Bombyx mori: one gene and its partner. The protein of the gene in region 1 purifies or fractionates together with the protein of each later gene. This does not show direct contact. Links are inferred from orthologs where the notes say so. Each region holds a gene or a part of one and is shown in the gene's direction. Other genes may lie near its edges.

What was found. Proteins that work in one complex are often made in the same cells at the same time.
Region 2: the proteins of ubiquitin-protein ligase E3A (region 1) and probable 26S proteasome non-ATPase regulatory subunit 3 purify together in Homo sapiens (affinity purification with mass spectrometry, with the first as the bait; 4 studies listed by BioGRID). This does not show direct contact. The link is inferred for Bombyx mori from reciprocal best matches to the Homo sapiens genes UBE3A and PSMD3.

Annotation. Positions count from the first base shown.
Region 1 is NC_085119.1:5,210,469-5,215,015, reverse strand, and holds the end of ubiquitin-protein ligase E3A, read left to right. Parts: intron 1-2,196; coding exon 2,197-2,535; 3' UTR 2,536-2,674; downstream 2,675-4,547. UniProt on the Homo sapiens protein: E3 ubiquitin-protein ligase which accepts ubiquitin from an E2 ubiquitin-conjugating enzyme in the form of a thioester and transfers it to its substrates.
Region 2 is NC_085110.1:10,832,416-10,838,272, forward strand, and holds probable 26S proteasome non-ATPase regulatory subunit 3, read left to right. Parts: upstream 1-2,555; 5' UTR 2,556-2,762; coding exon 2,763-4,247; 3' UTR 4,248-4,348; downstream 4,349-5,857. Other genes in the region: protein enabled homolog, read right to left, coding at 11-646.

The DNA of each region.
Region 1 (4,547 bases):
AAGAGGTCCACGAAGCGAAATAATTTTAAGGTAATTATTTAAACATTTTTTTTAGTTTAGAAGGATGGTGGAAATTGGAAAAAAAATTCTTAATTAACAATCGTCTAGAATATTGAAAAATATGTTTTTATAAAAAATTCCAACGGGAATAAATTTTTTAAAGTGTTTAGATTATGCAATAATTTTTTAGATTTTTCAATTAACTTTAAGTACTTGAAAAAAATTTTTTTAAGTGACGTCCTCGCTTTCGAGGCCGTGCGCGCAACCTAACAATGGCGCGCGGCGGGTTATTTTCAGCGTTAAATTAAAATTATAAATAATGGAGCTACAGTTCCGGGAGTTGGAACTTTTTTTTACTAAATTTCCTCCTCTTTAAGGATCTTTTTTTCAAATTTCGAAAATATTTATAGTTTACGGACAATAAGCAATAAACGAAACGCTATTTTTTGAAGGTGTTTAATTGTTAATAACTTTTGGAATTTTTTATGTGCTAATTCAATTTTTTAGCACAATGGTCTAGACATTATTCCGAATCGAATGAGCTAAACCACATAATTTTAGCAGTAGTATGTCGAATTAACACCATTTTTAACTTGTCGACTAGACTATGAGGTGCAGCCCACCTGTTGTAGAGTATGGACATTATTACATGAACGTTGCCAGTTATCTTGAACCATGGTGACTCGATGCAGTGTCGCCAAATGTTTGAAAACTTTCCCCCTAAAGCAATTTCAAAAACCACTAAATTCAAAACAAAACTCCCCAAAGGACGGACCAAGTATTTATTCATTACAATATAAGTAAAGAAATAAATAAAAATAATAAATAATTAGTTAATAACAATAGTTATTTAGTATTTTTAAGTATTTTTCTATATAAAATTTTATCCCTAAAAATATCCCCAAAAAATTTCACCCCCTAAAAAAATCCCTGTATAGATTTTTCCCCCCTAAATTTGGGGGGAAAACCCCGGAGTTGGCATCACTGATTCGATGTTTCTGTTTCATTTTAAAACTTCATTTTATTGTACTTGAATTCTGTGCTAAAAGCTTTTTAAACATCATTAGCCCCACCTCTTGTCCGTTGACGGTACTAAATATACTACAAATTAATAGTCAACAGCTTTTGTTGCAAGTTTAAATTCATTGATAAACGAACACTCTTAGCACATATTAGATCTTACTTGTGGTATGTCGTATTATAGTCTCGCATCAGTAGGCTCAGTTCAAAGCCGCGAACCAGCGATTCGTATCTTTTGAAGGGTGAAACAGCTGTTATATTTACTTATTTAATTTAGAACACGATAGGTCTCAAAGTAAGCGACGGTGTTCACATTGTCACGATGTCTATGGACTCCGGTAGCCACTTAGCGCTCGTAGTTCGTTATACTCTGGGTGCTAGGAGACTGCTTCCGAAAACGAAGACAGACGATAGTACTATTGACACCTTTGGTAATGGGACGAAAATAAAATAGATCATGATTTAAAAAAATCATATTTTTTTGCAATTGCAATGTTTGAAGTGAAACTTTAGAAGAATCGTTGTGATTTCAAACTCAATGAAACGAAAAAATAAGTCCATAGAGACACAAACACATAAATGTATAGGATTCAGCCGGCGAGAGAATGAGATAGAACACATTAGACGTTCTCGGTCTCCTCTTTGTGCGATTCTTCGTAACATCCCCATTATCGTCTACTAAACATTGTCCATATGTATGCACCTGTGTAGTGGGATAGTCACAGTGTGACTTGCACACACTTTTTTATTGTGAACGCCGCCTCTACTTCTTTTATGGCGCCTGCAAATTTTATACGTACAAAGTTGTAAATTTTGCGTCGCGCCGGTGTGCGTGTTAAAGAAACGCCGCGCTCGAGCGTTCGTTGATCCGAGCATCAGCTGTTTTTAATTTTGTGTTTCACTGCTGGTTTTCTTTTCAAATAAAGTAATGTATTTTTTATGAAACTATCGTTTCATTTAGCTGTATTAACATAATGGAGGGTAAATAATGCTGATAAAACGTTTTAAAAATATGTTTTTTTTAAAAATCAGGTTCGACTTTTTTTCTGTCTCATCATCTATGTTAGGTGTCATTAGTACTATCGTTACCTCGATCGATACCTCGTTTTCGGAAGCGGTCTCTTAACACCCAGTGCATATAGCAATACAATAAAAATACCGTATTATATTTTGAAGGTTTTCGATTTCCACGAGCTGGAAAAGTCGACAGAATACGATGGCGGCTACGCGTCCGACTCTAAAATCGTACAGGACTTTTGGGGCATCGTGCACAGCTTGCCGCTGGAGGACAAGCGGAAGCTGCTTCAGTTCACGACCGGGTCGGACCGGGTGCCCGTGGGCGGGCTGTGCAACTTGAACTTTGTGATCGCGAGGAACGGCCCGGACTGCGACCGGCTTCCCACCGCGCACACTTGCTTCAATGTCCTACTGCTACCCGAGTACGACACTAGAGACAAACTACAGGACAGACTCTTGAAAGCCATCAACTACTCGAAGGGATTCGGTTTGCATTGAAGCTATGCTATACGACGACGACGACGCAACGCAACGCGGAACTAACTCAACAAAATTAGCATAATATTATAGTCGAGGAGTCGCCACGATGATGTTTCTGTATCATTGATGATTAAAGTTTGTTTTATTTAAGCGTAAAGTTTTTTTTTAATTACTCTATTTATTATGTCTGGCTGGGCAGCGTTCGGGAAGCTTCGTCAGGTCTTTTCGTCGCCCAAACCACAATGTCTGAAGACAAAGGTCTACAATCAGTGCGTCCTACCCGTGCTTACCTACGGAGCCGAAACGTGGACACTGACTGTGCGACTAGTCCACCAACTAAAAGTTACTCAGCGAGCCCATAGCTCGCGAGCTATGCTTGGTTTATCATTGCGAGACCGAATACGCAATGAGGTCATTCGGGCAAAAACCAAAGTGATCGATATAGCTTGCAGAGTTAGTAAGCTGAAGTGGCAGTGGGCTGGTCACATATGTCGCAGTACCGATAACCGTTGGGGTAGACGTGTTCTGGAGTGGAGACCGCTAACCGGTAAACGTAGTGTAGGACGCCCTCCTGCTAGACGGAGCGACGACCTACGCAAGGCAGCTGGCAGTAACTGGATGCGTAGAACCGAAGATCGGGTTCAGTGGCGAGCTTTGTACTGCCGCAGGTTAATGATGATGATGATGATATTTATTAATTACTAGCTGTACCCGCCCGCTTCGCTGGGCATTTAAAATTAACTTTATTATTTCTCACCCCCCACAAAAATTCTCATCATTAACGCCCCTGCAACTGGTGTAGGGAGTCCAACACTCATATAAATATTAGCCTATACATTAAGTACATGTATTTTCGACATGGATATAATAGCCGGCAAACTTCTTGAGCATTTGTTGACGTAGTGGGGGTAAGTTTGCGCATGGTACACTCACATGCAAAAACATTATTTACTCTGCGTCATAATGCAATTAAATTATTAAAATCAACATATGTATTTATTTATATATTTATTAGAACATCAACAAAAAATATAGGTTAATAATTATAATAATTTAATCTTGGGGTAAAATAGATATTCCTTCTATTAAGTCAAAACTAGAGCTGTTGCCAGGTCTTCGTTCAGTTGAAGCGAAGCTGGTATTTGTAATTTTTTTTCGTTATCATAATCTTGACCATTATCATCATCACTGTTTTCATCACCCGAGTCGCCATCATCGTGATAAGTCGACATAGGGCTCATCGGTGTAGTTTACGACTCGGTCGGTTCGATCTTCTTTTTTGTCTATAATTAATTATTTTTTGAAGATATTCGATTCGTAGTAATCGAATGTTACTTTTTTCAATTACCAGCTTCCGATTATTTTCTGTTTTTTTTTTTCCATCTGAAGCCTAGCTCTTTCATAATTCGTCGTAAACTTCATTCCGAGCCATTAAAATGTATATCTTCTTTAAAATTTTCGAAGCCTTTCTACGGTACGGAGTTTCGCTGCTTGTTATGTAGTTATTATGATTACATCTTTTTATTACAGATTGAACGAAACTATCCATTCCGGTAACTTTCTTCTTCCCTGATCTTTTCTTACCCGGAGTCCCAAGCACGATGAGCAAGCCAGAGCCTTTAGCTTCGTTAATAATGCACCTAACAGTACTCACTGATGTTTTTGTTGCTTCCGAAGTCTGTTTTACTTTTTCCATAATATCATTCTTCCCCTGTTTTATAATGAAGCAATATACGTCGTACACAATTTTTCTACCCTTTCTTTTGAATACTACACCAGTTTGTCGCGGCATAGTGTATTTTTTATAAAAAATCAACAAAAACTCAACAAATAGCAATGGCAACAAAGACAACAAGCAATTATAACAAAATATAACTTAACGATTAATAACGATAGACTTTCCACTGTACGCAAGCGTACTTTTGGGAGCAAGCGGAACGAGGGCGCGGTGCGGGACGCAAGGTTCGACTGATCTACCAATAACGCGCTCGATACGATTTCCCCTGCCGTCGCGCCTCACCCTCACCACC
Region 2 (5,857 bases), on another chromosome or scaffold:
ATAAACTGACCTGCACCCCAGGTGTTTTGACAAACATCAAACCTGGTGGTGGAGCCATGTTTGATAAGGATGGTGGTGGAACTGTGATATTGGAGGTGATATTGGACTGTGTATGGCCACCACTCACTGGCACTACATTTATGTGTTCTTGCTGTTCTGGATATTGCATTCGTTGATCTTCCAATTTTAATTTTTCCAAAATGTCACCAAAATGTGATTTCTGATCAAATGTGAAGGCTGGGTGATGTAGTGCCATTGTATACAACAATAAAATTTCTTCGAGTAAATCTCCATATAAGCCCTTCAATAGGCCACTTTGTTCCAAACTGACCATGGCATTGTACAGAGTTGTAGCACACGCGAAATTACAAGATCGTAATAACGACACATATAAAGCCATTTTTCGTCGTGTTCTAGGGTCTGCATTTGCTCCTCCTATGTCCGCAGCCAGATCTGTAGGATTGTTAGCTCTCAGTTCGGCACCACGCAACTCCTGAAAGTCCCGCTTACCGAGCTCTTCTAGGTACGTGCCGATGAAGCGCAATTCGAATGGTAAACACATATTTAACAGTGTACACATTGCATCTATGCGTTTATAGCTTTCCAATTCTTTAAACCATGATACCACGTCCTCTTTGCAAACCATTTCCAGAACACATTGAAATTTTATGTGAAGAATCAACCGGTCTCCTGCAGCCGTAGCGCGTCCTTTTTCTATAATTTTTGGCACACGCAATCTCCACAATATTGTGATGGTTGTAATCCAAATATATTCAACTGTAACATTAGTAAAATATAATTTTATCAGTATTTTCCAAGTAGAGTATTGGTTAAGCAACTACGAGCAATGCTAGTAGTTTTGTCTTGTCTTTAATCTATGGAATAGAAAAGGCAAAGACAAAAGCATGCCGTTTAACGGATGTTTCCATTATTGAAATATCTACGTCAACCTCTAAGCTTTAGGGTGCATTTTATGTAAAATAATCACTTATTTTTTGGTTGCTGAAAAATAATCAGTATTGATATGTGAAAAAACCCTGAAATCGATTTGTTCTAAATTTATCGACTATATTTATGAAAATGAAAAGGTTTAATACTTTTTGTAGATTACTTTGAGTATAATTCAACATAGTTTTTTAATATAATATTTTATTTACATAATGGTTAATATGGTTATAGGTCAAATATATTCAAAAAAATATACTTTTATAATAGTTCATCAATTCGGTACAAATGAGGACCATATTAACTGATTGTATGATACAATACGATAATAATGATTATGTTCCATTGAAGAGGATAAGATTTTATAATAAGATTTTATAATAAACTATTTCAATAATTTTTAATAATATTAAGTGTGAGTACTTTCAAAATGTAAGTATAAAATTACTATTTCCCCTATTTTATGAATCAAAAGTTAACAAAAAGCTATCAACATATTTAATAGGTACATATATAATTCTTAATACGCTTATAGACGTGTTCAATAGACTAACTAACACACCTCCGAACTTGGTTCATACTTGTACTATATTTGACTGAATATCGAGTGTTATCAATGATTGAAAAAGCATTGGTTATGTAAGCGTTAACTTTCAATAATGGGGCGAAAACTTGTTCAGATGGTAGGGATGTTTGCATGTTAACTCCACACTGTTTTTGTTACTATTTAATCTATTACTATTTGATAAGTATTTAAAACACAATCAATTCAATTGTGGTTCAACTGTAACTGTCACAGTGTTTTGTATTTATTAAATAATGGTTTTCAGCTCGAACTCATGCGCATCCATTTTAATTTTTTTTACACTAAGTCTCCACCGGTTGCCACTTTTTGTAGCTGGTAAGCAACTAAAAAAATGCCAGAATAAGATATTGCCAGAATAATGCCAAAATAGATATATTCTAGTGACCTCGAGGGGTCATACTAGATTCACCGAACGAGTAGGTGAACTCACAGGGCTCTACCCTGGTGTCGTTGCTAACACTAGCCCTAGCAAAAGCAAGCTACGCAGACTCTACCACCGGATCGGAAATGCGACCCACTAAGAAGACCTAGCGAAAAACTTAGTGGGCCGTACTGTTGGTTAATTGACTCGCCGAATCCTTCGTGTTCAAGCAGCGAGTTCAACGAGAACGGTGACCGGTACATGTGGTACATAAAAGCACCGATAGCGGATCTGGAGGATCCGAAATGACGTGTTTTGGGCGATGTTGACTGTTTACCATGTTGGTAACGAACTATTCGTCGCACCATAATTATTCTTCGGGGCGTAAAGTAGAAGAAAAATAAATTGTAGAATTATTAAAATGTGTAATATTCCAAAAAATATTGTTTCTATTCTAGTTCTCTAAAAAGATACTTGAACGGTTCGATGTAATAGAACAGACGAGCTCATATCCACAATGAGGAAAACCATTTTGTATCCCATTTATTACAGTAAATAAAAACAAATCATAAAAAAAATTGAAAAGAAAAGAGGTCAGATGGTTGTACAGTAGCAATTGATGCATATTTTTAACCGTTTCTGCTGACCTTATTATTTCACATTCCAGCTGGCAACATTACCAACATTACGACAAAGTTACTCACTCAAGACTTGGCCTAAAGGTATCAGGCCATATCCTCCAAAAAAAAAAAGACAAAGTTACTCGGCATTTTTGATTATTGTGACAGATTGCATTTTACTAAAATTTGTAGATTGATTTCGTTCATTCTCATATTCACATTGTTTTGAAAAATATCAGTTATATATACAATGGCTCCAGTGGAAGATGTTGAAATGAAAAATGTGGAAAGTCCTGCAGCTGTTAGTGACGTTGAGACAGCGGATGTAAAGAAAGATGCTGATGTACTAGCTGTTCAGGATCTACGAGAACACATCAGACAAATCGATAAAGCTGTTACTTCGAAAGAACCTAGATTCGCTATGCGTGTACTTAGAGCACTGCCGAGCACTCGCAGGAAGTTAAACGGTAACGTTCTGCGAGCTATTATCAATCAGATTTATCCCGCTAGTGCTGAGAAAGAAACCATACTATCTTTTGTGGAAAATCCTCTCCCTGGTGCCGTAGAAATAGAAGCTCCCAGGTCACGAAGCGCCCCTAAGCAGCCAGTGCCCGAAGTGGATACATATTTGCATCTCCTTGTGCTGTTACGTTTGTTGGATACAAACAAACTTGAAGAAGCCACAGAATGCTCTCAGCAACTAATGACAAAAGTTACTACTCAAAATCGAAGAACCCTTGACTTGATTGCTGCAAAATGCTATTTTTATCACTCAAGAGTGTTTGAACTAACTAACAAGTTGGATGTGATCAGAGGTCTCTTACATGCCCGACTTCGTACATCAACATTGAGAAATGACTATGAAGGTCAAGCTGTTATTATCAACTGCCTGTTGAGAAATTACTTGCACTACTCTTTGTATGATCAAGCCGATAAATTAGTAAGTAAGTCAGTTTTTCCTGAAAATGCCAGCAACAATGAGTGGGCAAGATTTCTGTACTACCTTGGCAGAATAAAAGCAGCAAGGTTAGAATACAGTGATGCACACAAACATCTAGTGCAGGCTTTAAGAAAAGCTCCCCAAACAGCTGCTGTTGGATTCCGTCAAACGGTCCAAAAATTAGCAATTGTAGTGGAATTGCTATTAGGTGATATACCGGAGCGAGTGATTTTCCGTCAAGCTCCACTTCGTAAAGCATTAGCTCCATATTTCCAGCTCACCCAAGCTGTGCGTCTTGGAAACTTGCAAAGATTTGGTGAAGTATTGGAGAATTATGGGCCACAGTTCCGAAATGATCACACATTTACATTGATCCTTCGTCTTAGACAGAATGTTATTAAGACTGCTATTCGTTCAATTGGATTGTCCTATTCTCGCATATCACCAAAAGATATAGCTCGCAAATTAGGGCTTGACTCTGCTGAAGATGCAGAATTCATTGTTGCTAAGGCAATCAGAGATGGAGTGATTGAGGCAACATTAGACCCTGTAAAGGGCTACATGAGTAATAAAGAAAGCTCAGATATTTATTGTACTAGAGAGCCACAGTTAGCCTTTCATCAGCGGATTTCATTTTGCCTAGATTTACACAACCAAAGTGTTAAGGCAATGAGATATCCACCAAAATCATACGGAAAAGAATTGGAAAGTGCTGAGGAACGCCGTGAAAGAGAACAGCAAGATCTGGAACTTGCCAAAGAAATGGCAGAGGAAGATGATGATGGTTTCCCATGAACTATCTTATAAAATTTTATATTACAACATTTTGTGTATTAGATTTCAATTAACACTGTTTGGAATTGTAAAAATAATGAGTCAATAAAATTAAAGCTAAATATTTTTTTATTGTGTCCATTAAAACTCCTCTAAGGCTATTTTTTAGTTTAGCTTGAAATTTTTCAAATGACATACATTTTTTGACTTCTAATGAAGCTTGGCACTGTTACAAATCGTCTTGTACCACCGCCCTGCCTATTTCTGCCGTGAAGCAGTAATGCGTTTCGGTTTGAAGGGCGGGGCAGCCGTTGTAACTATACTGAGACCTTAAAACTGATATCTCAAGGTGGGTGGCGCATTTACTTCGTAGATGTCTATGGGCTCCAGTAACCACTTAACACCAGGTGAGCTCGTCCAACCATCTAAGCAATTAAAAAAAAAAGACTCGTTTGAAGAAAGAAATGTCATAACGCTGGGGAAACACCGTGAAGGAGAGTTCATTCCATAGTCGGATGTTCCGTGGTAAAAAAAGAAACGCACTGTCGATAAATGCAGCGGTTCCATATGGTATGGATGAACTCTACTCTGTGGTGGAAAAGGAGGCGGAGGATCATATCGAACAATTTCTGATAGATGGCCCGTGGTCTCGTTCGAGAGAAGGTAGTAGAGAGTTCAAATTAGAATATATATTTTTTTATTTGTGTACGATACCTAATTAAATGCGGTCATTTTTTTTTTTTTTTGTACCTCTGCTGATAGCATTGAGAGGCTATTTCAGCTTCTCCTTGACGTGTAGGTGAGCTCACGGGGCTCTAACCGGGAGTGTTGCTAACACTGGCAATAGCAAGAGCAGTGCTTTGCAGAATCTATGGGGCTAACGGCGGAGGTGCTAACGCGCCTATTAGGGAGTGGGCTGCTCGAATTGGTATTCGGAGGGCGCCCCTTTTGAAGAGCATCGCTGTGCTTTTCGTGGGGTTGATGTCGATGCGCCACTTCCAGAACCACTGTCCCATGGTGGTTACTGCGATCTGAAGTCGCCGATGCAATAGCGACTTCTTCCTACACGAGTAGTAGATAGCCGTGTCATCGGCGAAGAGCGCTAGATGGGTCTCCGAAGACCGGGCTATATCATTGATATACAAACTAAATAATAACGGGGAGAGCGCGGAGCCTTGTGGAACTCCGGCCGTCAGATGACAGGGGCGGAGCGAGTTCCCTCTACTCGATATTGAAACGAACGGTTCGACAAGTCTTGTATGATGAGCACGAATCTGTCTGGCACTCCCATGTTATACAGTTTGTAAATGAAACCGTTATGCCAGACTTTACCGAACGCCTTTGCGATATCGAAGAAGAGAGCTCCGGTCGGGACTGGTTTCCGCCTATTTAGCCCTATTAAGATGTGCTCCGTCAGGCGGTGTACTTGTTATATGCACGAGTATTTGGCGCGGAACCCAACCTGCTCGGCCATTAATATTTTCTTTTCGGTAATGAAGCCCCACAGGTGTTTCCGAAGGAGTCGTTCGTATATTATGCCTATCGCTGGGAGGAGACTAATCGGACGGTAACTAGCGGTTTCATTTTTCGGTTTGCCCGGCTTATGTAGGTATACCGAATGCGGTCAAATT